Linked DNA regions of Struthio camelus. The protein of the gene in region 1 purifies or fractionates together with the protein of each later gene. This does not show direct contact. Links are inferred from orthologs where the notes say so. Each region holds a gene or a part of one and is shown in the gene's direction. Other genes may lie near its edges.

Evidence for each region.
Region 2: the proteins of SAP30 (region 1) and ING2 purify together in Homo sapiens (affinity purification with mass spectrometry; 3 studies listed by BioGRID and IntAct, counting the BioPlex papers as one, with this or other methods). This does not show direct contact. The link is inferred for Struthio camelus from reciprocal best matches to the Homo sapiens genes SAP30 and ING2.
Region 3: the proteins of SAP30 (region 1) and MTA2 purify together in Homo sapiens (affinity purification with mass spectrometry; 3 studies listed by BioGRID, with this or other methods). This does not show direct contact. The link is inferred for Struthio camelus from reciprocal best matches to the Homo sapiens genes SAP30 and MTA2.
Region 4: the proteins of SAP30 (region 1) and SAP130 purify together in Homo sapiens (affinity purification with mass spectrometry; 4 studies listed by BioGRID and IntAct, with this or other methods). This does not show direct contact. The link is inferred for Struthio camelus from reciprocal best matches to the Homo sapiens genes SAP30 and SAP130.

Annotation. Positions count from the first base shown.
Region 1 is NC_090945.1:46,426,786-46,433,739, forward strand, and holds the start of SAP30 (histone deacetylase complex subunit SAP30), read left to right. Parts: upstream 1-3,953; 5' UTR 3,954-4,065; coding exon 4,066-4,392; intron 4,393-5,608; coding exon 5,609-5,731; intron 5,732-6,954. UniProt on the Homo sapiens protein: Involved in the functional recruitment of the Sin3-histone deacetylase complex (HDAC) to a specific subset of N-CoR corepressor complexes. Capable of transcription repression by N-CoR.
Region 2 is NC_090945.1:50,693,067-50,700,655, forward strand, and holds the start of ING2 (inhibitor of growth protein 2), read left to right. Parts: upstream 1-4,575; 5' UTR 4,576-4,588; coding exon 4,589-4,778; intron 4,779-5,705; exon of another isoform or gene 5,706-5,759; coding exon of another isoform or gene 5,760-5,781; intron 5,782-7,589. UniProt on the Homo sapiens protein: Seems to be involved in p53/TP53 activation and p53/TP53-dependent apoptotic pathways, probably by enhancing acetylation of p53/TP53. Component of a mSin3A-like corepressor complex, which is probably involved in deacetylation of nucleosomal histones.
Region 3 is NC_090976.1:523,450-530,782, forward strand, and holds the start of MTA2 (metastasis-associated protein MTA2), read left to right. Parts: upstream 1-4,324; 5' UTR 4,325-4,455; coding exon 4,456-4,483; intron 4,484-6,159; coding exon 6,160-6,227; intron 6,228-6,326; coding exon 6,327-6,420; intron 6,421-6,579; coding exon 6,580-6,697; intron 6,698-6,815; coding exon 6,816-6,879; intron 6,880-6,971; coding exon 6,972-7,089; intron 7,090-7,179; coding exon 7,180-7,282; intron 7,283-7,333. Other genes in the region: EML3 (echinoderm microtubule-associated protein-like 3), read left to right, coding at 487-585, 672-802, 3,291-3,470. UniProt on the Homo sapiens protein: May function as a transcriptional coregulator. Acts as a component of the histone deacetylase NuRD complex which participates in the remodeling of chromatin.
Region 4 is NC_090950.1:6,535,398-6,542,471, reverse strand, and holds the start of SAP130 (histone deacetylase complex subunit SAP130), read left to right. Parts: upstream 1-4,068; 5' UTR 4,069-4,379; intron 4,380-5,061; 5' UTR 5,062-5,261; coding exon 5,262-5,325; intron 5,326-5,783; exon of another isoform or gene 5,784-5,917; intron 5,918-6,425; coding exon 6,426-6,563; intron 6,564-7,074. Other genes in the region: UGGT1 (UDP-glucose:glycoprotein glucosyltransferase 1), read right to left, coding at 443-567. UniProt on the Homo sapiens protein: Acts as a transcriptional repressor. May function in the assembly and/or enzymatic activity of the mSin3A corepressor complex or in mediating interactions between the complex and other regulatory complexes.

The DNA of each region.
Region 1 (6,954 bases):
ACCAGGAAATACCAGTTGTGCACCAATTTAACCATTTTGGTTAATGGCATGATTTTCTCTCTTACTGTATTACCTGAATCATATACATCCAACACAGGATGTGTTGGAATGTGCAGAATTGTTAAACCATTTTAAGGATTTTATTTTAAAACATTTGCCAACAGGATAATTTGAGGTGCAGCACAACACTCAGTAAAGTATACCTGGACTCCTAGTGAATGGTCCCTAAAGGGTACCTAAAGGGAAGAGTCACCTCTAATTGAACCCTTATCGTATTAAGATATATATATAGCTACAAAACACATTTCCTTTCCACGATTACTCATAATACATTTACAGCGTGCCAGCAATCTATCCAAAGTGATGTGTCTGCTTATCATTTTTTGTTCTCAAATTACAAGTTAAGCACAAAAGCTAACAGGAGCTGGGACAGACGGCAGTCAAAGAGGCATAAGCTGCTCACTTTCCCACCGGTGCCTGGCTCCCCTCTGTGCCAGCAAGGGCCACTGAGTCCTGCTGCATGCACTTGGAGCCTGGGAGCTGCTGCTTTGAACAGATGCCCTTTTCAAGATACTGTAGCTCCTGTTCCTTCTGCATGCCACTTAAGTTATCTATAATGCATTTTTGGCATCTATGACATAGATTATTACTGCCTTAATTTTCAACTCTGCGTGTGAATATGGCACATAAATGCTAGTGAAGTCTTACACAAAAATTTACTAGTTTGGAGCTGCCATTTCCATGCGATCAGCTTAGTTTTTCAAACTTTTGCTCTAAATACATATTGTTCCAATAATGCATACTTTGATAGGGATATTTGTTTACAATCTCCCAGTACATATATATATAATATAGTTATATCTAAATACTTCTATTAAACACTGCCAGAGCTTAATTTTATAAAATCATACTTTTGCACAAAATGCAATCTAGCAGAATCCATCTATGACATTGTTTTATTCCAAAGGGCCTAACTATGCAATTTGGAAAATCTATCCTGTAGATGGAATTTTTACTCTGCCTGATAAGCCCACCTATCTGCAGCTCTTTGTTAACCTTGTACAGTATGTGGGATAAAAAAATGCAATGACGTGATTTCTGAATTATTTTAAGCTGGCATTGATACCAAAGAAGGTGGCCCTTCCCTGTTCTGGTGCTAGTCAGGCAGTCCTGCCCTTCTGTTGGATCGTCCTTTGTGCTAAGACATCACGCAATTGAGCAGTAAAGGAGATCAGGCTTAAACTTAACTGATTTTCTTTCTGCTGGGCTAGTTTTAACCCAATCCAGTTTGCTCTGCAGCTGTATAAATGCTTTTACAGGCACAAGGAAGGGCATGGAGGGCTTGGGTGTGAAAATGAGCGGCTTATGGCAGAAGGAGGACTGTCTTTCTCAGCCCTACTACTGCCTTATCATGATAATGAAACTATGACACTACTCATTTTGAAATTCAGCTTATAATTTAACATACTGGCCAGCATAGCTGATTAATGTAATAAGGTCTTTAACTGTTCACAGATGATACCAAGATAATTGGGAATACAGATTTAAAATGCGCTACTGATCGTTCCATCTTATGAAACTGCACCAACCAAACCTACTATGCCAAATCTCAACCACTCTTTACCTAGCCTGGTGTGCTTTGTGCTCACAGTAAGGTGAAAACAATCTAAAGAAAGATGGGTCTCAAAAGACATAGTGTAAAATTGCAGGTTTTGCTATTCATGACACAGATTTCCACTGAAGAATTCCTGGAACTCACCCTTGCTCCAGCTTTCCTAGCCTGTACTTTCCTTAGGTAAGCCCTGCTACCATTCTTTTAATATTTTATTATTGCAACTGTTAAAAGGGTCAAATCATAGGAAACTTAAAAAGTGAATTAGATGTCTGTTGTCTGAGATTATACAGATTATACCCAGATACTTCATTTAGACTTCTGTTCAGTTGATAACAAAACAGAGCTTTGGATTTTTTTTGAACTCTAATCTCTCTGAATCTTTGAAATGTGCCTTCTCTATTGTCTGTGACTCTATGCTCAATTTTTTACTTACTGTATCATTCATTCAATTACACTGTTCGAAGTGTAAGTGGGAACCTACCCACATTCTATAATACCAGGTTATGTAATCAGATTAAAAAGCCATCTGCAGCACAAACTGAAGCTGCGTTCTAATCGTGTTCCCCGGCTCACTTAGAACTTTGGCTTACACGGGATCTGTGTCTTGTCAAATCATTCACTGACTTCTCCATTACTCTTCTGATTCTGCAAACTGAAAATGCATGGTAACTGATATGGTTGAATATTTGAGTGATTAAATCATCATGCTTTGAGTACAGTCAGTTCAGATACCATTTCTTAGATTTAAGGGAATATTCATGGCAGTTTGAAAGGAAAGCAAAACGAAACTCAATATTCATTCAGTGCCTATACTTTGAAAGCACATGAAGAAAAATGCATCAAAAGTTTGCATCTTCTGTCACTCCGCAGCCAACAGCAGCACTAGCAATTGGTTTAATGCTAATGCATCTCTCATGTGGTTTTGCAAATTCCTGAAACTAAAAATACTTGCTTTTAACAAGTATTTTCACAATATCTATTTTAGCTGGTCTTATACACAGCAAAGTCCCAGTTCATCACTAGCAAAAGATAACGCAGTGTTAGTTTGTTGTTGCTAAAGTCATCTTTATTCACCAAAAGCCCGTTTAAATAGTAAAATTGGAAGCTTGCGCTGTACATTGGCTTAAGAGATCTTTATGAAGTTATCGCAAGGCTAGGCTCCCCTTGCAGCCGTTTTAAAAACGGCTTTAACATAAAGGACTACTGTCAGTTATTCTCAGTCAACAGACTCAAAGCCACAGGCTGTACAGAGGCTCTCAAAGAGCTCCCAGTTGCAAGGCAACACCGCACATGACAGAAAGCACTCTGCATTCAGTCCAGGGCAACGGGATCTGTTCTCCGACCGTTACTGGAAAAAGGCTGAAAAAGAAAAGAGGCAACGAGATATGCACAGACGTACGGCAGAAAGAAAACAAAACAAACTAGAAAAACCAAGCAAGAAAACCATCCAAGGAAATGCGAGTTAGGCTGAAATGTTACAGCCAGAGAAAGTAAAAGAAAGGCGAGGCACCGCTGAAGAGAGCGAAGAAGTAAGGCGCTGCAGAAACACAGACGTTAGCGAATAGGAAGCAAGGGTGTCTTAACCTTTTGAGGTTGAAGTACGTTTACGCACTCGGCTCAGCAAGTGAAAGTGGCGATCTCTGCCCCTCAGAGAGAAACGCCACCCTCCTCCGCCCCAGCCGGGGAAACGCCGCAGCGGCCGGCCCGGCCGCCCGCTCCCGCCGCCGCACCGCCCCGCACATTTCAAATCTCAACGGCCGCACGCGGCCTCGGCGGAGGAAAGGAGGGAGGCGAACAAGGGCCTTTTAAAAGCAGATCTGGGCCGCTGCCGCCGGGCCGGGCCGGGCCGGGCCGGGCGCGGCCACCTGGCGGCGGGGGAAAAGGAGCGCAGCGGCGAGCGGGCGCCCACCGCCAGCGCGGAGAACAGCCAACAACCACCCCCAACCCCCCTCTCCCGCGTCCGCAGCGCCGTAAAATGGCACTCCGGCTCCCCCGCGGGGCATGTCGGGAACTGTAGTTTTCCCTCGCCGCCGGCCGCGGAGGGGGAGGCGGCGAGCGAGACTACAGTTCCCGCCGCGCCCCACCCACCACCACACAAACATACACATACACCGGCGGGGGAGCGCGCATGCGCAGGGGAGGGGGCGGAGCCGCGGGCAGGTTGCTGTTGTTACATAGGAAACAGCTGAAAAGTCTCCACATGACAGAGGGGGAAGGAGGAAGCGGCGCGACCCGCGGGGCGCCGGGGCCGCGGTAGCTCGGCGGAGAGCGGCAGGCGGGGGCTGCCGGCGGCGAGGTGCGTGCCCGCAGCGCGCGGGCTCGCCGCCCGTGAAGGGGGGGGCCGGAGGGGTCGCGCCCCGGTGCCGCGGCCGAGGGCGGCAGCGCTCCCGCTCCCGCCGCGGCAGTTTGGTGCGGGCCGGGGTCCCCCCGCCGCGGAGTTGGCGCCGGGCATGAACGGGTTCGCCCCGGAGGAGGCGGCGCAGCGAGGGGCAGACCCCGCCGCCCTGGTCGCCGCCGTCGTGGGCAATGCGGGCGCCGCCGTGGAGGTGCCGCCGCCGCCGCTGCCGCCGCCGGGGCTGGGTCCGGCCGCCGCGGGTGCCGGTGCCGGTGCCGGGGCGGGTGGCGGCGGCGGGGCGGGCGGCCCCGGGGCCGGGCAGCTGTGCTGCCTGCGCGAGGAGGGGGAGCGGTGCGGCCGGGCCGCCGGCAACGCCAGCTTCAGCAAGCGGATCCAGAAGAGCATCTCGCAGAAGAAAGTGAAGATCGAGCTGGACAAGAGCGTAAGTCGGGCGGCGGGGGAGGGGGGAGCGGGCCCCTGCCCCGGGCCAGCGCAGCCCTTCTGCCGCCCGGCCCGGCTGGAGGGGCGCGGGGCTCGCCCGTCCTTTCCACGGCTCCGTTTCTTTTTGTTTTCTCCCTTTTTGTTTTTTTTCCCCCCTTTTTTCCGGAGCGGTGCGGTCCGTCCCTCTCCTTCCTCGGCACGCCGTGGAGTTTGGCTGGCGCCGCACGAGTTCAGCCTTCAAGCGCCCTTGGCGGGCTGCGCGGCGGGGCGGGGGGGGGGGGGTTGCGCGCCCTGCCCCGCTCCCTCCGCGCTTCCCGCGGTGTCCGTCCGCGCCTGCTTCTGGCGAGGGCAGCGCTTGGCTGCTCCGCCTCGTGCCGTCGCGTTGCACGTCTGCCCTCTCGCCGCTGCGTCTTCCGCTCGGCAGCCATCAGGCGCCGCCGCGCAGCGCTGCGCGGGGCAGCGCGGGGCTGGGGGCGCCCGGCCCGGCCCGGGGTAGGGGCGGCCGAGGTGTTTCCCGGCGCCCCGAGGCAAAACGGCTGAAAACGCACCGCCGCGTGTTTTGCTGCCGGCGAGGCTGCGCAGCGGCGCGGAGCGCTGCGCCCGCGGCCCCCCCCCCCCTCCTCACGGCCGCGCTGCGCTGTCACCCTGTAAACCTAGCCCCGCTCAGGTCCTTAATTCCGGTTAAAGTCGGCGCTCACCGCTCTGGAAAAAAACGGTTTTTGCACATAAGTAAGAACTCTGCTTTCGAAATGAACGGGTCCTTCCAGAAGGAAACTTTATCCAAAAAAAAAAAAAGAAAAAAAGAAAGCGTATGTGCCGCTTGACCTTGCGTAGGCAGTGGAAGTGAAACAAAGGAGTACAGATGGGAAACGAGAGCTGAAGTCCTCCCGCTTTGGGGCGTTCAGAAGAACGACTGAATCACTCTTGTTGCCTGATGCCTGAGCGCTGACGAGCGGCCGTGGAGATTCATGTGCCTCTGCAGTCCGGTACTACTGAATCAGTCTGCTGCGGCACTTCCCCGCTCTCTAGGCTAAGCGGGTGGCAGTCGTCCGTAGCGTAACACATACCTTATTTAGTGAAATCGAGCAGAAAAGCTTCCTGAACTCAGTTAACGTGACTGTGATTGCTGAAGGGTTGGTTCTGTATGTGCATTTATATCTTAAGTTGAGCAGATACGTGTGTGTATTTGATTGAAAGATGCAGCATTACTCTTTCAGGCAAGACATCTTTATATTTGTGACTTCCACAAAAACTTAATTCAGAGTGTGAGAAATAGAAGGAAGAGGAAAGGCAGTGATGATGATGGTGACTCACCGGTGCAAGACATCGACACTCCAGAGGTAGCTAAATAGCTGTTTTCTAATTGTTATGTTAAGCTTTTTCTTAATGACTACCAGGTCTGCACTAATGCTGCTTTTCCACTGTTACAGCTTTCCTTATTTTGGGGGATGGGGAAAACAGAAGACTCCTGACTCATTAAGTCCTTAGTATAACAGGAGCTGACTGAGTTTTATGAAGTATCTTCTGTATTAATCATGTAGATTAGAATGAACAAAACTCTTGGCTTATTTCTCATTATCTGCTAGTTTTCTCAAAAAAACTGTTTTCAACTTTTTCTTTCCGATGCTTCCTCTCCAGACTTCTACTAGAAGTGATGCTTTGCCACATAGTAGCAAAATCTATCTTCTGCAGGAGCTGACAATTTTAAGGGAATTGCACGTAGGACTTGGGATATAAATGCTTCACTACTCCTGTCCCTCCAATCATTTCTTTCTGGGTGTGAAAACGTGTTGCAGAATAGTTCTTGCAGCTACTCTGTTGCTCTAGTCTAACTCTAATGAGGATAGCTCTATGGTTTTTGTCCCCTGTTCAGGGAGGAGACACTCAGAGTCAGGCAGGAAAGGAGAGGAGGAGGATAGCCCTCTCCCTGTTTGTGTTCTCCACTGGAGGTTTGTGAAACATTGTCACTTATTTTGAAAGTGAACTGCAGCTTTTGAACCTTTTTCGTAGTGTTGGGGGAAGAAAGCACTAGGTTTGTAAGAAGCATGCCATGACCTAAAGCCCTCTTCCTACGTGTGTACTGGATTATTTCTGCTGGAGCCTGGTTTAGCGGGTGCTCTTCAGTGTGATGATTCTGAGCAGAGGCTGTGATTCCAACCTAGTTCCTCTAAGGGATTTTCAAGATGTTTTGGATGTTGCTCATTGAATGTAACTTTGATGGCATCCTCATAGCCCAAATCTGCATACATCAGCCACATAAGTAATACAACTTTGCAAGAGTCGCTGCCTGAAGACATGCAGCTCCAGCTTGAAGGCTCTGACTGGGAGGATCTTGGGGGATTGGGAATGATTTGATGCTAGCCTGTGTTTTTGGCTGTTAAATACGTTGGATCACTTTTCTGAAAGTTCTGTCTAAACTTAATGTGCCATGTGACTTAAGGTAGCTGCCTGGCACAGTGGAAACTGCCACTCTTCAGCAAGCCTGTTTTGCTTTTCAGTACAAGAATTCTAAAACATGTCACAACTTATGAGCATTTCTGGAACAAAAAAAGCAAACTTTTTT
Region 2 (7,589 bases), about 4.3 Mb from region 1:
ATTCCACTGCAAATGTTTACCTCACGTTGACAACACCTCACTTAGTGGAGAGGGTCAGTGGTAACTATTGCAGTTGCATGCATGAATCCCATTGCCAGTCTTGACTAGCTTCCAGAAATAATTACAGTGGTTGGGTTCTACCTATACGGATATCTGGGCACCTGCCCTGCCTGGGTGCCTACACCCAGCAGTTTCCTAAACCCAATGGGAACCAGGCAGTCTCAGCCATTTTAGAGTTTGGCAAGCTGCCTTGTCATCAGCAGGACTTCTGGAAGGCAGCTGATTTAACTTATGAGCCCTTCTGCCTGTCCATCTCGACAAATAAAGGTGTTTTGCTCTACTGTGCCTCTCTTATCACCAGATGATTCTCACAAACTGTCATCCAAAAAGGCGATGTAGTGGGGTCCCAGAGGAGGTGGCTATCAACCTGCAAATTGAGAGTTCTCTCATACATTAAAGTTCTCCACTGCTTGTTCCTAGTCATTTTGAGGCATTATCAAACCAGAGGATTCAGCCTGCCGTTTTTCCTTTCCTTCCTTCAAAACCTCAAACATGTGGTAAGCTAAGGCTTTTTTTTTTTTTTTTGGCAAGGAAATCTCGTTTAATATTACCAAAGCATTCTCAAATTGCCCAAAATTTAAATCGTTATTTAGTGTTCAAAAGCAGTGGAATACACTTAATTTCAGGAAACACGAGGTGATCTCTGCTGTGCCTTAGATACTGCTTCCCCCGTAGTGACAAACAGTTAGCAAGTTTCCAGCACAGAAACCACCTGTAATATACTCTACGAGTTATTCTAAAACGACTTTCTTGACTATTACTTTACCAGCGGTGCATATATAATTTCTGGTCAGAAAAAAGTGATGCCAAGTAAATATATTAAATTTGTAATTAAACGTTAAATAAAATTAAATGTTTATTTTCACATGTTAATTTTTAATTAACTTTTGTTGCTTCATTTTACTGCTCTGTAGTGTAATTTTCAGTTTCTTGGTTTGATTTCTTCATGAGGTGGTAGAATGATACAGATATTTGAGCTTACTATAGACAGAAAATAGCCAACATATTTCTACAGAACTTTCTATCACTGATATTAATCCGGGTTCTTTTGCACTATTAAGTAATTCTTTCTGCCTGGGTAGTAAGTGCCATTTGTTGTTCATGTCATACGAACGAATTCAACTGACTAGATTTTAGTGATTCAGAACCGACAGCAATGATCACTGTAGAATAAAGTTTCAGCAACTTACTGTCAAAGGAATTGAAAGTAGCTAGATTATTTTCATTTTCTATGTCCATTTATTCAAAAATTAGACAAACAGCACAATCTGATCTGAAATTTAAATTCATTAATCCAAGCTATGACAGAAGACAAGGATCTAGTTTTACTGGCATATGGCTTTTAATGTTACAGTGTACTCTTAAGAACGTGAATATACTGAGTTGCAGACTTCCTGTGTTCTTGGCCAGAGTGAGTGACATCACCGACATAACAAAGTTGTAGACAGTATTTTCAAATCACTGTTTTTGATTCATTTTTATATATTTGCCAACTCATTGCTGGCTCTGGTAGAGAAAAAGAAGTCTATCTACAGCTACAATTACTCAACATCTAAGACATAGATTCAGAAAATTATTGTTACATGGGAAACCAGTTTAGCAGCTGCAGGAGTTGAACGTTAAGAGCATGTTTAAATACTTTCCTGCACTGGGGTCTTAAGAAAATTTTCGTAAGACTGGAGTCTTAAGAAAATAACACTTGCAGAGTGCCACCACGCGAAATGCTGACCTTGCTCGTCAGAGGAAATCTGAGGTTCAACATACTCATTTTGTCACAGGATTAGCCATCTGGCACAGATCACACATTCACATAGTGATAGAAAAAAGCGTACTGGAAGGGATCCTCTGGAGGTCATCTAGTTCGGTCCCCTGCTCAAAGCACAGCCAGCTTCACAGTTCAGTTGGGTTGTGCAGGGCCTCGTCCAGCCAGGCTCTGAAAATCTCTAAGGATGGAAACTATATAACCTCTTGGGAAACCTGTATCAGTGCTCAACCACTACTCTAGATTAATTCCATCTTGAAATGTTATCTGTAGGATTAATATAGGTACTCTTTTAGTACTGGCTGCTTACCGACATGCAGGAAAGTAAGACATAAGGTATTTATTTTTCCCCTTGAATTCAGTCACCTCTGATGCTGTTTTTTCAAAGCTTGCAAGATTTCATATTTGTCTTCTCCCTTTTTTTCAGGTACCTGAAATATAAATGCAACATACAGCAAAAGGTACAGGTCTCCTGGCTATGTTTCAAGACTCCACAAGATTTTTTTTCTGATGCTCACCAATTATTATTCATGCAGTAAAGATGGCATTAAAATGTCTGAAGGGGTGATAGGGATGAAATCTCAATCTTTTAGTAATTAAAACTACTTGATACCATTTTTCCCAATTATACTAGAGCTCAAGAGTACATATATTTCTACTTGTATTTCCTACCATATTTATCGTGGCCAACACTTGATACAAATTCTGCATCAGCCCTTGGGGAGGAAGGATACTCTGTCAAAACTGGAGATTTGTTGGCAGGCAAGCGGGTTTTAAAAGACTAAACTTCTTTGACGCCTTATTTAAAATTCTCTCAAATGATTCCTCAGGATAAAATGTCACTGCACTTCCATAAGTAATAGTTTATCATGAATCATTATTTTGCTCTTTAAAGCTAAATAAGGTAGCTCTTACTGTGGGCAAGAACAGTCTAAACCACTGCTTCTTACAGTTCAGGGAGATGAATTAATTGGATGTCTCGGCATATCAACTGCTACTGTGATAAAAACTTGCCTTTGGAGCACACTCTAGCGTAACAGAAAGTAACCTACCTTCCCTGCATCTAGTCTGTAACCGTGCTGTTGGTACAAACCTCTCCTCATGATGAGAACTGCTCTTCAGAAATAAATTGTTACAGAAACAAATATAGCTCACAATAATGTTCGGGAGATAAATACACACACCATCTGCAAACAATTTAATGTGCATATAAATTTTGTTGCAGTAAAACTTACTCCCATTCCCCTCCTCTCAGGCACACCGCCTTTGCAAAGGAGCGCTTTCAGAGATTAAGCTTCAGCACTGACGAATTACGATTTCATATGCCAAAAAGCATTCCAAGCAAGTGAGAGGGCAGTGCAAAGAAAGGGTAAGGCTTTAGCATCACATAAAAAACTTAAACGGCAGTAAACATCAACTTTTTTGACCTGTTACTGAGTTGCCAGTCTTTTGGTATGAGCCTGTAAGTTGCAAAAGGTGACATCTACTGCCTTCTTGATATGTTCATAGCACCATACGAGCGTGAGTTCCTAAAAGGAGTGTACCCACCCCCACAGCCCTGTGCTTGCTCGGTTATATTTGGTATTACTTCCTCAGAAATTGGGAAGGGTCTGGATAACGGCTGAAAACCCAGCTTGCGGTTTCCTCGCCTGCGCGTTCAAACAAACGCCACGCGCGACAGCTGGAACGAGCGCTTAAGTTCCTCAACCGCCGCAAGGAGGGGGCGCGTTTGGGGCAGCGTGAAGAAACGCGGGGGGGAGAGGGGGGTGCTGACTGAGGAAGGGAGTTTAAAGCTCCTCCTGGCGGAGCCCGCCCTACCTGCCACGCTCGTAACCCCGGCGGCCCGCTCGCCGGCCGGCGGGCAGAGGCTGAGGGAAGCTGAAGGTGAAACGGGACTGCCCGCCCCCGGCAGCGCCTTCCCTTCCACCGCGCCTGGAGCTGACGCGGCTAGAAACAGGGCTGAGCGCGCCCGCGGCCCCCGGGGTCGGGGGGGGAGGTGGGGGGAAGTAGCCCGGGGCCCGGCACGGCCAGGCCGCGACGCCCCAGCGCTGAGCGAAGCGAGCCGCGGCCGTTGGGAACCCCCTGCCCTGCCCTGCCCCGCCCCGCCCCGCCCCGCCCAGGCAACGGCCGCCCGCCCCCGCCCACACGCGGCGGCCGCCGGGGCACCTGGCGGGGAGGAAGGGGGCGGGGCCCAGCCGCCCGCCTGCCACCCCTTGGTTGCGCGCCGCCACCGCGCGGCGGGGACGCGGGGAAGCTCCGGCAGCCGGGAGCCGCCTGCCGCGGGCAGCGGGAGCCGCCTGCCGCCGGCGCCGCTCCGCCCCGGGCGCGGGGCGGGCGGGGAAGGGACGAACGCGGGCGCCTTCGCCTTTAAGAGCGGCTCCGCCTCCGCGGTGGCTCCCGCCCCCTGCCACGCGCCGGGCCACTGGGAGCGGGCGAGGGAGGAAGGCGGGAGAATGCGAACCCCTCGCAGCGCCTCCAGCCGCGCCTTATAAGGGCAGGGCCTCGCGCATGCGCGTAACCTAGCGGCCAGGGGCGGGGGCTCCAAGTGGGTTTTGCTTCGGCGGCGGCGGCGGGGCGGGAAGGGGCGCGGGGAGCCGGCGGCAGCGGCGGCCGAGGCCGAGGCGCGCTCCCTGCCCCGCGGGGCGGCGCGGCCGGCGGCGCAGCGCGGCACAGCCCGGGCAAAGGGGCGGCGGCCGCGGGGAGCGGGACGGGGGTCGCCCCCGGGCCGGGCCGGGCCGGACGGCGCAGCGCAGCGCAGCGCGGTGCATGTGCTGCGGGCGCGGGGGGATGATGCTGGCGGGGCCGCAGCTGGTGGCGGGGCCGGCGGCGCCGGGCGGGGAGCGGGCCCGGCTCCTCTCGCTCTACGTGCAGGACTACCTGGAGTGCGTGGAGTCGCTGCCGCTGGATATCCAGCGCAACGTGTCGCTGCTGCGGGAGATGGACACGCAGTGCCAAGGTGGGCGCCGCGGCGGGCACCGGACGGCGCGGGGGGGGGGGAGGAGGAGGAGGAGGAGGAGGGCGGGCGAGGCCGCCGCCGCACATGCGCCCGGCGCGGCGGCCCGGACCGGCTGTTGGCGCCGGCCCGGCTCCGCGGCGGGGGGCGGGGCGGGGCGGCGGGGGTGGGACACGCGCGCGGTTGGGGGGGAGGGGGGCGCGGCCCCGGGGGGCGCTGCCGGCCCCGCTAGGCCCCGTCCGGCCCCAGCCCAGCCGGGGCTCCCGGCCAGCAGGTAAACCCGCCTCCGCGCGTGGGGCGCTCTGCGGGCCGGCTCTGTCGGTTTTTGTGCCCCCCCCCCCCCAAAGGAAATACCTCTCTGAGCGAGAGGTACAGTGCGAGACTCCGAAGCCAGAGAGGCAGCAGTGAACCCCCCCCCCCGATCCCCCGCCTTCCCAGCCCGGGCAGGTGTCCATCTGTCCGTCCGTCCTCCCGCCTGAGTTACCTGCAGCGCTGTCAAGTCCAGCAGCCCCGGCAGGTTTGTCCTGACCCCGCCGCGGCGCCCAGCGGTCGCGCTCCCGGCGAGGCGAATGCAGAAATCGGGTTTTGGAAATCCCACGGCTCTCGCTGCACCGCCCACGCGTGGAGGATGTCAGCCGCGGGCGAGCGGCGCGGCTGGAAGGGCGCAGGCTTACCCCGCTAGCGCGCCGGCTCCCGGCTGGCCCTCAGCGCTCGCCGACTGGATGAGGAAGTTAGCTGTGCTCCCTTTGATAACAGCTCACGGAGGGGAAAGGAAAAAAAAATCTGTCCTGTGGCAAGTTACCGTCAACTTTAGTCAAAAAAAACGCTTCTTCCAAATTGCAGGTTAAATGGGAATTAAATCCATTCTGCCTAACTCTCTCAGCTGTGGTATTTTTTTTTTATTTCTAATTCTTGCTGGTATCCTAATAGGATAGGATCTACTACTGAATAGCTTTATTACTTGAAATATGCAGCAGAGACCAAATGACATCAACCCACTGTACAAGTGAGTAGGAATTTGGTCCTATGGCATAAGAACTGGAGATTACAATATACTGTAATTTCCCTTTATAATAGAAGGCTTTCTTAAATTTGGGTAAGAAGAGACCGTTAAGGCCTTTCAGAGGTTAAATAAAGCACCTCAGAAGACAGCTATTGTAAATGGATTCTTTCAATTATCTTCCTAATTACCCAGGAAGATACATAAGAACAGGCTTTTGTAAGTTTTCTTAAAGTCTGAAGTGCATAGGCTTGTTTGCAGTATTTTGAATTCTTTGTCATGGCTGGACTGCTTACCAAGTTCTTTGTGCAACCTGTGGTGATTTGGTTATGAGCCAGCACTCTAAATCTGTATTAAATAAAGTTAATCTCTTATTTAGCCTATACTTTTAATATGTATTCTTCCAGCCACTAATGTGAAACTGGGCCAAAGCAGAGGTTTGTAGAGTTTTACCTACAAACCTAGTTTAGTTTTACCCAGCTACATCTGTTCAGAAAAAGGAAAGAAAAAAAGCATAAGAATGTGACAAAAATATTTTAGGCCTAAGTCTGAAGATCTTCTAAAAGTGCTGCTAATATGATTTTGGCTAACTTAAAAGGTAGTGCTAGTTCATGTGGGAGGGCCAGAGTCATTCCTGGACTTGGAAAACTGAAATCCTTTTAGCTCCACCAAACTTAATCAGATTATCTGTAATAACGCCTGGTCCTGGTTTTTTAACAGGGGTTTCAGAGCTACTTAGTTGGGCCTATGGATGCTTTCTCTAATCTTGGGAAATAATGAGCGAGTTTGGCAAACTTGCATCTCTGTCAGTCCAAAAGTTCTCTCTCTTCTCTCCTTGTGAGAAATTTGGCCACTGTTTGGAGAATGGGATGGGAGGTTGTCCTGATTGTGATTGATTTGCATGTTTGTCTTATCTGCAGGTAAATATCAAGGGATACATCCGGAGAATAACAAACTAAAAAAAAAAAAAAGCCTCAGTAGAGTCAAATTTGTTCTCTGTTTTCTTTTTCTGTGGAAAAAGAACAGTTGTTATTTGTGGGTTCTTTCGGGCAGGGCATCCCCTATATGGAAAATCTATGTAACTACAAGTACACTTTTTTTTTTTCCTCTCACAAAAAAAGTCTGGGTAGGAGATAATGTGGCTGCAGCATATTGTACTCTGGTTATGTCTTTCTAGTTCAACAGCTTACAAAATACCTTACTCTGCACTTTTCAGGAGCAGAGAATGAGATTTTCTTCCCTGTCAGGGCAACAGGCAAGACGTGCAGCTGAAGGTGCATGGAAACAACGGTCATGTTTGTAATGATAGCTGCAATGCTAGTATTCAGAAGAAATAGGTTGAGTTATTGGGCTGGCGCAGCAGTGATTTTATCTTACCCAAGTGAAAGTCTGGAATAGACCAAAATGCTATTGACTTCTGTTGTCATACAGATTTCAGAATTTACAGTAAGAAGTGACTGTTCCTGCAATACCACTGTTTCAAAATGTCAGCATGAAAAAAAGCCACTGTGCACAATGCTAAGGAGATAATACCTGTGGTTTCTATTTAGTGCAAGTTTGAATCATTTCACAGTTGTACAAAGCAGACAAAATTACTTAAAAATAAAAGCCAGTTTGTAAAAAGCTGCTCTGTAGAAAGAGACTATATTCGTTTAGTGTTGTTAATAAATTCGTTTGCACATTCAAATAAAATTCTTAAGTTTTTGAAGAAACATACACTGCATCTAACACAGTGCATCAGATTTCACTGTCAGCTCTGAGGTTAATTTAGTTCTTTTCACTTTAGCAATTCCTTTCTCTGTTATGTATTGCTG
Region 3 (7,333 bases), on another chromosome or scaffold:
CGAGGGGGCTCCAGGGAGCTCAGGGGGGCTTGGGGGACTCGGGGGGGCTCAAGGGGGCTCGGGGGGGCTCGGGGGGCTCAAGGGGGCTCCGGGGGGGCTCAGAGGGGCTCTGGGGGCTCTGGGGGGGCTCCAGGGTGCTCAGGGGGGCTCGGGGGGCTCAAGGGGGCTCGGGGGGACTCGGGGGGCTCAAGGGGGCTCCGGGGGGGCTCAGAGGGGCTCTGGGGGCTCGAGGGGGCTCCAGGGAGCTCAGGGGAGCTTGGGGGACTCGGGGGGGCTCAAGGGGGCTCGGGGGGGCTCAAGGGGTCTCTGGGGGGGCTCAAGGGGGCTCCGGGGGGGGCTCAGAGGGGCTCTGGGAGCTCGAGGGGGCTCCAAGGAGCTCGGGGGGGCTCAGGGGGGGATCTGGGGGGGGGGGCTCCAAGGCGGGGGCTCGGGGTGGGGTGGGGGGGACGCTCCGCCGGCGCCTCCCTCCGCCCCCCCGGCCCGCAGGGGACGTGGCCGGCGGCTGCAAGCTGCTGCGCAACCGCTTCGAGAGCCGCGACCGCGAGTGGGCCACCTACACCTGCGTGCTGGGCTTCCACGTCTTCGGTAGGGCCCCCGCGCGTGCACGCGTGTGCGTGTGCCCCCCCCCCGCCCCCCCGGCCCCCCGGCCGCGCTCACGGCGCCCCGCGCAGGCGTCTGGCCCGACGGCTCCGACGGCACCGACATCAACTCGCTGTGCCGCTCGCACGACGAGCGCGTGGTGGCCGTGGCCGACGACTTCTGCAAGGTTCATCTCTTCCAGTACCCCTGCGCCCGGCCCAAGGTCAGCCCGGGGCGCCCGTGGGCCGGGCACACGCGTGTGCGGGCGGTGGGGGGCATGCACACGCGTGTGCGGGTGGGGGGGTGCACGCACATGTGTGTGCGGGGAGGGAGGTGCATGCACACGCGTGTGCAGGGAGGGGGGGTGCATACACATGTGTGCGGGGAGGGAGGGTGCACGCACACGCGTGTGCAGGGAGGGAGGTGCATGCACACGCGTGTGCGGGGAGGGGGGTGCACGCACACGCGTGTGCGGGGAGGGAGGTGCATGCACACGCGTGTGCGGGGAGGGGGGTGCACGCACATGTGTGCGGGCAGGGAGGGTGCACGCACACGTGTGTGCAGGCAGGGGAGTGCACGCACACGCGTGTGTGGGGAGGGGGGTGCATGCACACGTGTGTGTGCAGAGGGGGGGTGCACGCACACACGTGTGCGGGGAGGGGGGTGCACGCAGACGTGTGCGGGGAGGGAAGTGCATGCACACGCGTGTGCGGGGAGGGGGGTGCATGCACACGTGTGGGGGCAGGGAGGGTGCACGCACATGTGTGCGGGCAGGGAGGGTGCACGCACACGCGTGTGTGGGGAGGGGGGTGCACGCACACACGTGTGCAGGGGGAGGGTGCATGCACACGTGTGTGTGCAGAGGGGGGTGCATGCACACGCGTGTGCGGGGAGGGGGGTGCACGCACACGCGTGTGCAGGGTGGGGGTGCACGCACACGCGTGTGCGGGGGGGGTGCATGCACACGTGTGCGGGGAGGGGGGTGCACACACACGCGTGTGGGCGGTGCATGCACGCGCACGGGCACAGGTTTGCGGGGGGGAGGCGGCGGGAGCACGTTTGCAAAGGGAGCGCGCGCACACGCGTGTGCAAAGGGAGGGCATGGTTGTGCGCACGGGGAGAGTGTGTGTGTGTGCATGTGTGCAGGCATGTGTGCACAGGGAGGACACGCGTGCGTGTGCGCACGGGGAGAGCGTGTGTGCACAGAGAGGACACGCGTGTGCATGTGCACAAAGAGAGCACGCATGCACGAGAAAGATGTGTGCGTGTGTGCGCGTGGGGAGGACACGTGTGCGCGTCTGCACGAGGAGACCATGCATGCGTGTGCAGAAAGGACGTGTGCGTGTGCACGAGGAGACCATGCATGCGTGTGTGCGCAGAAAGGACACACGTGTGCATGTGCATGGGCAGAGCCTGCATGCGTGTGTGTGTGTGTGTGTGTGTGCATGTGTGTGTGCAGGAAGGACACGCGTGTGCACGTGCACGACCAGAGCATGCACGTGTGCGTGTGTGTAGGAGGGACACGCGTGTGCACAAGCAGAGCATGCATGCACGTGTGTGTGTGTGTGCAGGAAGGACACGTGCACGCGCGTGTGTGTGTATTAAGGACATGTGTGTGCGTGTGCACGAGGAGAGCCTGCATGCACGTGTGTGCATATGCAGGAAGGACATGCGTGTGCGTGTGCATGAGCAGAGCATGCACGTGTGCGTGTGCAGGAAGGACACGTGTGTGCCTGTGTGTGCAGGAAGGACACACATGCGCGTGTGTGTGTGTGTGCAGGAAGGACAGGTGTGTGCGTGTGCAGGGGCACAGCACGCACGTGTGCGTGTGTGCAGCAAGGACACACGTGTGTGTGCGTGCGTGCAGGAAGGACACGCGTGTGCGCGTGCGTACAGGAAGGACGCGCGTGGGCGTGTGCACGAGCACAGCATGCACGTGTGCGTGTGTGCAGCAAGGACACACGTGTGCGTGTGTGTGCAGTAAGGACGCGCGTGTGTGTGTGTGTGCAGGAAGGACACACGTGTGCATGTGTGTGTGCAGCAAGGACACACACATGCGTGTGTGCGTGCAGGAAGGACACGCGTGGGCGTGTGCATGCAGGAAGGACACGTGTGTGTGTGCGTGCAGGAAGGACACGTGTGTGTGTGTGCACAAGCACAGCATGCACGTGTGCGTGTGTGCAGCAAGGACACGTGTGTGTGTGTGTGTGTGTGTGTGTGTGTGTGTGTGCAGTAAGGACACGCGTGTGCGTGCATGAAGGACGCGCGTGGGCGTGCAGGAAAGACGCGCGTGGGCGCGTGCGTGCAGGAAGGACACGCGTGTGCGTGCAGGAAGGACGCGCGTGGGCGTGTGCACGAGCACAGCATGCACGTGTGTGTGTGTGCAGGAAGGACACGCGTGTGCGTGCAGGAAGGACACGCGTGGGCGTGTGCACGAGCACATCATGCACGTGTGCGTGTGTGCAGCAAGGACACGCGTGTGCGCGTGCGTGCAGGAAGGACGCGCGTGGGCGTGCAGGAAGGACGCGCGTGGGCGCGTGCAGGCGCAGAGCGGGCGGCGCGTGCCGGCCGCGGGGCGAGCAGGCTCGTGCGCATGCGCGCGGGCGGGCGGGCGGGCGGGGGGGGGCGGAGGCAGGGAGGGCGGCGCGCGGGCGTGGCCTCGCCGCCCCGCCCCCCGGCCCATCCGCCGGTGCCGACGGCCGTGCGCGCAGGCGCCGAGTCACGTGTACGGCGGGCACGGGAGCCACGTGACCAACGTGCGGTTCAGCCACGACGACGCGCACCTGGTGTCGCTGGGCGGCAAAGACACCAGCGTCTTCCAGTGGCGGGTGCTGGGCGGGCCGCGCCGCCGCTCCCTGCCCGGCCCCGCCGACGGCCCCGAGCCCGCCTAGCGCCCGCCCCAATAAAAACCCGGCGGCACCGCCACCCTCCGGCTCCTCCCTCCTTCGCCGCCGCCGTTCCCGAGCCGCTTCCGCAGCGGCCCCAGGGGACTCCCGAAAGAGCCGGGGGGGGGGTCGGGAAAGAGCCGAGGGGGGGTCGGGAATAGCCGAGGGGGGGTCGGGAAAGAGCCGGGGGGGCTCCGGAAAGAGCCGAAGGGGCTCCGGAAAGAGCCGAGCGGGGCCCGGAAAGAGCCGAGGGGCCCCGGAAAGAGCCGAGGGGCCCCGGAAAGAGCCGAGGGGGCTCCGGAAAGAGCCGAGGGGGCTCCGGAAAGAGCCGAGGGGGCCCCGGGAAGAGCCGAGCGGGGCCCGGAAAGAGCCGAGGGGGCTCCGGAAAGAGCCGAGGGGGCTCCGGAAAGAGCCGAGGGGCCCCGGAAAGAGCCGAGGGGGCTCCGGAAAGAGCCGAGCGGGGCCCGGAAAGAGCCGAGCGGGGCCCGGAAAGAGCCGAAGGGGCCCGGAAAGAGCCGAAGGGGGCTCCGGGAAGAGCCGAGGGGGCCCGGGAAGAGCCGAGGGGGCCCGGAAAGAGCCGAGGGGGCTCCGGAAAGAGCCAAGGGGGCTCCGGAAAGAGCCGAGCGGGGCCCGGAAAGAGCCGAGGGGGCCCCGGAAAGAGCCGAGCGTCTCCGGAAAGAGCCGAGCGCGGCCCGGAGAGAGCCGAGGGGGCCCGGAAAGAGCCGAGCGGGGCCCGGAAAGAGCCGAGGGGGCCCCGGAAAGAGCCGAGCGTCTCCGGAAAGAGCCGAGCGCGGCCCGGAGAGAGCCGAGGCGGCTGCGGAAGGGCCCGAGGCCGCGCCGAGCCCGCGGCCGCGCCGAGCCCCCTCCCGAGCTGCCCGAGCGGGTCGCGCCGGTGCGGAGGCGACGGGAGGCGGCGGCGGCGGGAGGCGGCGGGAGGCGATGAAGCGCGGCCCGGGTCGGGCCCGGGGGTAGCGCGGCCGAGCGAGCGGCCATGGCGGCCAACATGTACCGCGTCGGCGGTGAGCGAGGGGCCGGCGGCGGCGGGAGGGCGGGGAGGGATCGGGGGGGGGTCTGTGAGGGGGACGAAGGGGGATCTGGGGGGGTCTGTGAGGGCGGGGGGGGATCGGGGGGTGTCTGTGAGGGGGGGAAGGGGGATCTGGGGGGGTCTGTGAGGGGGGAAGGGGGATCTGGGGGGGTCTGTGAGGGGGAGAAGGGGGATCCGGGGGGGTCTGTGAGGGGGGGGGTCTGTGAGGGGGGAAGGGGGATCGGGGGGGTCTGTGAGGGGGACGAAGGGGGATCCGGGGGGGGTCTGTGAGGGCGGGGGGGGATCGGGGGGGGTCTGTGAGGGGGACGAAGGGGGATCTGGGGGGGTCTGTGAGGGGGAGAAGGGGGATCCGGGGGGTCTGTGAGGGGGAGAAGGGGGATCCGGGGGGGTCTGTGGGGGGGGGGTGTCTGTGAGGGGGGAAGGGGGATCTGGGGGGGTCTGTGAAGGGGAGAAGGGGGATCTGGGGGGGTCTGTGGGGGGAGGGTCTGTGAGGGGGAGAAGGGGGATCCGGGGGGGTCTGTGGGGGGGGTCTGTGAGGGGGGAAAGGGGGATCCAGGGGGGGGATTTGTGAGGGGGGATCTGTGAGGGGGGGAAGGGGGATTGGGGGGGGTCTGTGAGGGGGACGAAGGGGGATCCGAGGGGGGTCTGTGAGGGGGAGAAGGGGGAGCCGGGGGGGTCTGTGGGGGGGGGGTCTGTGAGGGGGGAAGGGGGATCCGGGGGGTCTGTGAGGGGGAGAAGGGGGATCCGGGGGGGTCTGTGAGGGGGGGGGTCTGTGAGGGGGGAAGGGGGATCGGGGGGGTCTGTGAGGGGGACGAAGGGGGATCCGGGGGGGGTCTGTGAGGGGGAGAAGGGGGATCCGGGGGGGTCTGTGGGGGGGGGGTCTGTGAGGGGGGAAGGGGGATCCGGGGGGTCTGTGAGGGGGACGAAGGGGGATCCGGGGGGGGTCTGTGGGGGGGGTCTGTGAGAGGGGAAAGGGGGATCCAGGGGGGGGATTTGTGAGGGGGGATCTGTGAGGGGGGGAAGGGGGATCGGGGGGGTCTGTGAGGGGGACGAAGGGGGATCCGGGGGGGGTCTGTGGGGGGGGATTTGTGAGGGGGGGAAGGGGGATCGGGGGGGAATCCGGAGGGGAGAAGAAGGAATCCGGGGGGGGGGATCCGTGAGGGGAGGAAGGGGGATCCCCCCATTTTGGGGATCCGTTGTAGGGGGGAAAGGGGGGATCCCCCCATTTTGGGGCCCCCTTAACTGTTAGAGGAGGGAAGGGGGATCCGTTGTGGGGGGGGAGGGGGAATCTGAGGGGGGAGGAAGGGGGATCCTTGGGGGGGGGATCCCCCCATTTTGGGGCGCCCTTAGCTGTTAGAGGAGCACAACCGCGACATAAAGGAGAGGGGCTGGCGGGGGGGGCCGCGAAGGGGGCAGAGGAGCCCCCTCCCCATCAATGTGTGTGTGTGTGGGGGGGTCCGTTCCCCCCCCCCAACAGCCGGACGGAGCCCCCCGCGCGCAGCAGGGGCGTTGGCGGGGGGCGCGAGCCCCCCCCACCCCCGGGTTTCGGAGGCATCCTGCGGGGCGGGGGCTGCGCTGGGACACCCCCCCCGCCCCAGCGAGCCCCCCCGCCCCAGCGAGCCCCCCGCCCTGAGCCTCTTCTCCCCGCAGACTACGTCTATTTTGAGAACTCCTCCAGCAACCCCTACCTGGTGCGGCGCATCGAGGAGCTCAACAAGGTGAGGGGCCGCCCGGCTTCCCCCCCGCCCTGGGGGGTGAAATGAAGTGTGGGGGGGGGGGGTCCCGCCTGCCTCCCGCTCAGCGCCCCCTCCCCGCAGACCGCCAATGGCAACGTGGAGGCCAAGGTGGTTTGTCTCTTCCGCCGGCGGGACATTTCCAGCAGCCTGAACAGCCTGGCCGACAGCAACGCGCGTGAGTGCGGGGCGCCGGGGGTCCCCCCCTCCAACCCAAGCGGGGGCAGCCCCTTCCCCGACGGCGGTGGGGTTGTGGGGGGGGGGCGGAAGGTGTTTTTTTGGGTGGTGGTGGGGGGGGGAAGGCGTCTTTGGGGGCTGACGCCGGCGCTGCGCCCAGGCGAGTTCGAGGAGGAGTCCAAGCAGCCGGCCATGACGGAGCAGCAGCGGCACCAGCTCAAGCACCGCGAGCTCTTCCTCTCCCGGCAGTTCGAGTCGCTGCCGGCCACTCACATCCGGTGCGTGCGGCGGCGGGGGGGGGGGACAAGGAGGGAGGGGACAACAGCGGGGGGGGACAGCGGGGCGCCCCCCCCCTCCCCGGCGGCGGGGCCGTGAGCCCGGCCTGTGCGCCCGCAGGGGGAAGTGCAGCGTGACGCTCCTCAACGAGACCGACATCCTGGGCCAGTACTTGGAGAAGGAGGTGAGGCCTTGCCGTTTTGGGGTGGGGGTGGGGGGCCCAGCCCACTGCGTGCCCCCCTCACCTTCCTCCCTCCCTCTTCTTCCTCTTCCCAGGACTGTTTCTTCTACTCGCTGGTGTTCGACCCCGTCCAGAAAACCCTCCTGGCCGACCAGGGCGAGATCCGGGTCGGCTGCAAGTACCAAGCGGAGATCCCCGACCGGCTGGCGGAGGGTGAGGCGGCGGCGGGGGGCCGGGAGGGGTGGAGGAAGGCGGTGGGGGGGGGGTCTGCGCTCCCCCACCCACCCCGTCCCCGTCCCCCAGGCGAATCGGACAACCGGAACCAGCAGAAGATGGAGATGAAAGTGTGGGACCCCGACAACCCGCTGACCGACCGGCAGATCGACCAGTTCCTGGTGGTGGCGCGGTGAGCCGGCGGGTGACAGTGGTGGCGGGCGACGGCGGCGGTGGCGGGCGT
Region 4 (7,074 bases), on another chromosome or scaffold:
TGCAAAGGACCTTTGGAAGTCATCTAGTCCAGCCCCCCTGTTCAAGCAGGTTCATTTAGAGCAGGTTGCACAGCACCCCATCCAGATGGCTTTTGATTATCTCCACGGATGGAGACTCCACAGCCTCTCTGGGCAACCTGTTCCAAAGCATAACCACTGCTCACAGGCTGGTACGCAAAAGAGCGCCCATTATATAACGACAGAAACACAAGAAGAGGTCTGCGTCCCAAGGAACAGAAATAAAAATCTCTACTGCAAACTGGACAAAGAGATCGACACCGCACATGAACGTTTACAATCAGCTGACACATATCACATAATAATCTTGTAGGATGCACCAAAAGAAAACAAAAAAACTCACCATTTTTAGCCCCAGAGAGAATATATTATTTCATCCTTTAAGTGCATTCGGATTTGTGAAGGAAAATAACGGCACGCTTACCTTGTTTCAAGTAATAAAGGAGTTGAAGACCACTTTGTAGTTAGAGATGTTGTCACAGCCTTGGAATCTCCTTTGGCAAGTGAAGAGCTGAACCAGATTCCAAGGACTGCAATAAGTATTCCCATTTTATAGGAAAAAACCTAAACAAGTCGGAGGAAAAAAACGTTAGTCTCACGTCATCTCTTTTTATAAATATAGAATCTCACATATCCAAATATATTATGACATAGTCAAGATTCAGTGGCCTGGTTTGTGCAATAAATCAATGAGATAATCATAGTATTTTTGATTTTTAAGCCTGGGGGGACTGTGAGCATGGAAAAAGAGACAAGGATTTTAAAATCAAACTCCTGAGCTGCAGTCAAACCTATTCCAGTTTCCTGTATATTTATTCTGTCAAATAAACTTGCCTTAGGAAGGGATTTTACAAACAGTTTATATTTCAAATTAGGTGGAAGATCAACCAACTAACTATTAGTTTTAGGATCAGTTAAAGTGATACTTTGTATTTGCACAGATGTATCAGCTGATGTACTCACCAGTGTCAGAAGGAGGAGGCAAGGTTAAGGTTCCCTAGTCAGCCCTTTAGGTTCAGCTGGGTACAGCAGACTTCCTCACTGGGGAATGAAGAAACAAGCATTTCTTGGATGCACTAAGTACCACCAACTCTAGAAACTGAAAAACGAAGGCCAATGGATGAATGAAGACAGACTCAAATGATACAACTTAGGGTGAGAAACAGGCCAGAAAAAAATAATGCCATTTCTTCTTTAACCTTCACTTGTACTTTCATGCCTACATATCCTCTGACCTCTTCACCACAGTGCAGCTAAGCGGAATTTCCCTGCTCAACTCTTAGGCTTAGCAAAGACATGAATTTTTCTGTTAGCTTTCTGTTTCATCCTTCAAAAACTTAAAAATTTTTGACTATAATATATTTACTCCACAGCCAAATACACGCACAGGCACTCTTTCACACTTTAATCTTTATTTTTCTGGATCGCTCCTTTTCTGTTTTTCCCCTCCAACTGAAAAAAAACAATCCAGTCAAATTCCAAGGATATCACAACTGATAACCTGTAAGGACCTAACTTCTGCCTCTTTTTTATGGTGCTATGTACAAACAATTTTTGCATACATGTTATATATCCGTACCTATAGTTCTATCTGTACATAAGAAGAGCTATAAAATAAGACAACCTCATCCTACTCACTTTAAAAATTACACTATTCCAGGTGTAAGTTCACGAGCAATCACTCACCCACTGCTCTTTCTGTATCTCAGCATCTTTCCTTCAGAATAAAAGTACAAATACCCCATTATAATACACCTTGCTCAGCTGCGTGCTAGACTTGTGTTATGCTGCAGCACGCCTGGGAAGCGGACCAGATGGCATACCATGACTTTGAAGAGCTAAAGCTATAACATATTGTTTGCAGAGGAGGAAGCCCGTCAATATTTGTGGAGTAAGTCCTTGACTTCCAAACACGACAAAGACAAGATTTGCAATTTCTCCCAGAATTTGGTCCTCCTTATCCGTTACAAATTTTACACAGTAGTTTGGAACATGCAAATAAATATCTCCTACTGTACTCTTCCAATAAAAGTCCTATGCTGCTCTTTAAGACCCGTGGGCCTGACTCCCTACTCTGTGAAAGACTGTAACAAAGACTCTGCTCTATATAATATAGAAAAAAGGACAGTTCATCCCATCTAAAGAGCACACGTCGGAGCACAAGCCTGTGACAGGCAGCTGACAGATATGGAGGAGATACCTCTGACACAGAGATGCAACACGCAGATCTTCAGGTGAGTGGTTTTAAGACAGCATCTTAATTGTTTTAGTTGACTGAAAACCTGCATATTAGCAACATCTATACACCCTGATTAATAGGGCCATAAAACAAAGCAAAGACCAGTATCTTGAACAAAAGTAGAAATACACCATGGAGAACAGAAGCGGTAAAAGGCACAGGAGTGAACGTAAATGACTTAAGGATGTTCAGCCGTGTTCTGCGCAGGATAACGAAGCAAACAAATAATATGAATTAAGACACTAAAGTGGATTTTTCAAGCTTGATTTGTTTTTTAAATATTTTTAGTCCTTATTTTTCCTCCAGTAAATTAACTGAAAAGACAGTTACCTCTGGAAAACGTGCACATCCTGCCTTAGAGAAGGAAATAAATCATCCCACGCTCACAAGCCCTGCCATATCGCGAGGGCACTAAACTTCATCATGTGCTACAGAGTGTGCCGAGTAAAGGTAAGCTGAAAAGGTCCTACTGCTTGGAAAGAGAAGCCAACTCCCAGTGCCAAGACCGGAAAACTAACGTAAGGTATCCACCCGAATCTAGCATTTGGAACAATTATTCACTGCGAACAGTGAAGATGACCAGAGTGTCATGAAGGGTTCTGTCAACATTTTTTAAATGTGGCTCTCACGTTTCCTTAGCACAGATACTGACACTAAAGCACGATGTTTAACCGACTAGTCCAAAATCACACACTGGAAGAGCTCTGATCAGCAATAATCTCTTTTAGCTCCTAGTCACCATCCAGACGGTATTCATAAGGACCTGATACGCAGCACACCACTTCTGCTGCGAACTGCAGTAACTGAATAACGACCGGTAACACAGACGTTCTCAAAGGTACAGGTGATTCACAAAAAAAAAAAAAGAAAGAAAAAAAGAAAAGGGAAAAAAAGCTGTTTCCCTCCAGCCCCCGCCAACACGGCGACTGACTGACAGACCATCCCTCGGGCCCAGGGAGCTGCGCCCCTTCGCCGGCGACGAACGCCGCAGCCGTCCGGGCAGGGCTGTCCCGGCGCCCGGCACCTGCTGCGCGGCTCCGCCCGCCCCGCCTCCCCCCCCCCCCCCCGCGCGCCCAACGGTTCCTGCCGCCTCCCCCCCCCCCCCCCCGCGCGCCCAACGGTTCCTGCCGCCTCCCCCCCCCCCCGCGCGCCCAACGGTTCCTGCCGCCTCCCCCCCCCCCCCCGCGCGCCCAACGGTTCCTGCCGCCTCCCCCCCCCCCCGCGCGCCCAACGGTTCCTGCCGCCTCCCCCCCCCCCCGCGCGCCCAACGGTTCCTGCCGCCTCCCCCCCCCCCCGCGCGCCCAACGGTTCCTGCCGCCTCCCCCCCTCCCGCGCGCCCAACGGTTCCTGCCGCCTCCTCCTCCCCCCCCCCCGCCCAACGGTTCTTGCCCCGTCCCCCCGCGCGCTCAACGGCTCCCGCCCCGGCCTCGCGCCCAGCGGCTCCTGCCCTCTCCCCCGCCCCGCGCGCCCAACGGCTCCCGGCCCCTCCTCGCGCCACATCACCGGCCCGGCGGGCGCGGGTCGCCGTGGTAACCGCACCTGCGAGCGGCCGCCACGCTCCCTTCCGCCTCTCGCCGCTGCCCCGGCTTCCGGGCGCTGCGCTTCCGCTGCCGGGCGAGGCGGCCCTCCCCGTGGCCATAGAGTTACAGCGGGAGCGGCGCCAGATTGTCGCCTGGCGCCATGTTGGGAGGGGTGGCGGCGAGCCCCCCGCGGCTCCTCGGCCTGCCGGCCGCCGGCCTGCCTGCCGCGGGGCTCTGCCGCGGCCGCGAGGGCGTTTGCCTGCCGGAGCCCCCGCGGCCAGGCCCCCCCCCCGGGGCGGTTTCCCCTTTCCGTGACGCGGCCCGCCATTGCCGGGGCCTGCCCGCCCGGCCCAGCCCCGCGGGGCAGCGGAGCCCGAGTTCCCTGGCACCGCCGACCGCGGCCCGGCACAGAGCTGCAGCAGCCGCGGCGGGCGGCTCTGAGAAGGCAGCGGTCAGTCCGAGGCGCCGGCAGGCAGAGCCCTAGAGGAGCAAGGGCCAGCGTCTGCCGAGCGGGCCGGTCAGCGGGACGAGGCCGGCCTTGTTTTCGGCCCTCTCCAGAGCCCCCGCACCGGATGTAACGTGCGGGACCTGCGGAGCAGCAAGTAAGAGCGGCGCAGGGAGAGCAGCGCTGCGTGGCGAGCGAGGGAGGGAGACAAGCTGGCTGTGCACACCCCCCGCTCCGAAATCCCTCGCGCCTTCAGCAGCCTTGTGACCGGCACGAGTCTCCTTTATCCCGTGCCGCCGTGTATATTGCTGCGCTGTTGTGCGCATCCCGTTCGCGTGCGGGGTCTCACGTCTTACGCTGACCCGTTTAGTCCGAGATCATGTCCCTAACGCAGCCAAGGGCCATAGGGCTAGGAAAGAGTGAAAGGCAGGGCAAACGCACGGCAGCGCTTTTCCAGAGTACTTGCTCAGCCTGGGTTTGCAGAGTTGGTAATTCCAGAGGCAGAGGTGGCATCTGCGTCGCGTCTTTCATGAGTTTGTCGAGTGAGCCGTCTCCCCCGTTGAAAGGACTTCCATGGCTCACTCGGGCTTTGTGTGGAGAACCACTTCTTTAGTTTGTTTACTGTTAGCAATGCAAGTATGAGAGGGGAATTAAAGCAGCATGGGACAGACACAAAACAATTGTTCCCTAATCACCTTCTTTATGCCATTCGTGATCTTACTGTCAGAAGTGCCCTTTAACAGTCTCTTTTCCAGGCTGAGGGTTCTGGCTCTGCTCGGGTGTTCCTCACACGCTCCATGGCGGGTTGTGTTAGCCACTTTTCTCTGAACCTTTCACAGCGTTACTAAGATCGTTTTGAGCCCCAGGGAGCAGAGTGGGGAGAGGGCAGAACGGCACATCTCCGAAGCTGAAAGTCCGGCCGGGCTGTATTAACTGCCAGGCAAGTTAACTTTGACAAGGCTGCGGGCAGCGTCCCAAGACCGAGGTCAAAGCCGCAGGACTAGTCGGTAGTCCTGGCTCGTGTTGGTCCTGCACAGCGATGCCCTTCCAAGCTGACCCTAACCACCGTCCACGCCCTCAGCTTTCTCAGCGCCCCTTTTCAGGTTTGTTCACAACGCAAGCACAAAGGCCTTGCAAAGCAAAATTAGGGATTGCTCAAATGTAATACTGTATTTAAAACGTTTTCTTTCTGGTTTAATTTTAAACCATGAACACAGCTCCGAAAACTACAGCTGATTGGCTGGCTGCATCTTTGAGCCTGGAGGCAGGAGAGCGCCGGGCGGTCGGTGTGGCCGCGCGCGCAGCGAAGCCGCCCTGGCTGAGCGCCCAGAGGCTTCTGTGCGCGTTGGGGTTCGGGAAGGAAAAGGGAGAAGCCAACCCCGTCGCCAGGCCGCACCGGCGGAACCGGGGCGCCGTGTGCCCGCCCGGGGCCGGGGCCGGGGCCGGGGCTGGGGCCGCCGCCGCCTGGCCTGCTGGCGCACGCACTACGTTTCCCAGGAGCCCCTGGGCGGCGCGGGCTGCCGCAGCCAATGGGGCGGGGGCAGCGCTGGGGGGTGGGGCCGGCCGGAGCCAATGGGCGGGGGCAGGCGCAGCGGCGGAAGCGGAGCTCGGCTCAGCTTGCAGCGTCGGTGTCACGGGAAGACGCAGCTACGGCTGCCGCCGAGGGTCCCGCCGCCGCCGCCGCCCGCGGGGCAGGTAGCGCCTTCGGCGGGGCGGCCGGGGCGCGAGGGGGCTCCGGGGCGGGGCTGGGGGCGGCGGCGGGGCGAGCGGCGGAGGAAGGGGGGGCGCCGCGGCCGCGCTCGCTCTCCCTCTCGCTGTGGAGGGGCCGCGGGCGCGGGCAGGGGCGCGGGCGGCCCCGCGGGCGCGGCGCCGTCTGGGGGGGGAACATCCGGGCCCTGCGCGCCCCGCACGGCGGAGACGGGCCCGGGGCGGCCAGGACCCGCCCCGATGGGCCAGCGCCGCCCTCCCTGCCATTGGCTCGCCGCCGCGTGAGGTCATCAGCGGGACGGCTCCTCACTGGCCGCCAGCGCTGGCGCAGGCCCGCGCCCGATTGGCTGGTGGGGCCGGGGCGCGCCGCATTGGCGCGGGGCTGGCGGGGCCGCTCGCGCGGCGCCCAATGCGGGGGGGCGGGGGCGGGCGCGGGGGGGCGGGGCGGGGCCGCGCCGCGCCGGTAGCGCCATGTAACGGTCGGCGATGCCCGCAGGTGCCATGAGCTCGCAGCAGTTCCCCCGCTCGGGCGCGCCGCCCGCCGGCCTGGGAGCAGCGCCGCCGCCGCCGCCCCTCCCCGCCAGCGCCGCCGCCGGCCTCATCAACCCCGCTGCTGCTGCCGCCGCCGCCGCCGGTAAGTGGGCGGCGCCTCGGGAAGCGAAGGCGGCTGCGCGTGGCGCCCCCCGCCGCGGTGGAAGGGCCGCGCGGAAGGCCGTTGGTCCCGGGGGGGGGCGGTGCGGCAGTCGGTGTAGTTGCCGGCCCTGACAAGCAGCGTTCAGCCCTGAACTGTTGCTTTTCTCCCTTTTTTGGGGGGTGCGGGGGGTTGACTGTCTGCCTTTCCTTGAGGTATTTTTCAGTATGTTTTTAGCAGAGGAACTGATTAGTGATTTAGGAACTCTTTCTACAGCAGCAAATGGGGCAGGAGCCCTAATCCCAGTCTGCGTTGGCCCTACAGGTTTTGCTAGGCTACCAGAGGTGATTTTTGGGTGGTGGGGTGGGATATAAATATGTATGCATATAAACATGTATATAACTTTTTTTGGTGATGCTTTGATGCTCTGATTGCTTTAATCTTCAGCTACTCCATGTACTTTTCAATACTATGTATTTAACGTGAGACTTCATGGCACTTGAGTGAGCATATG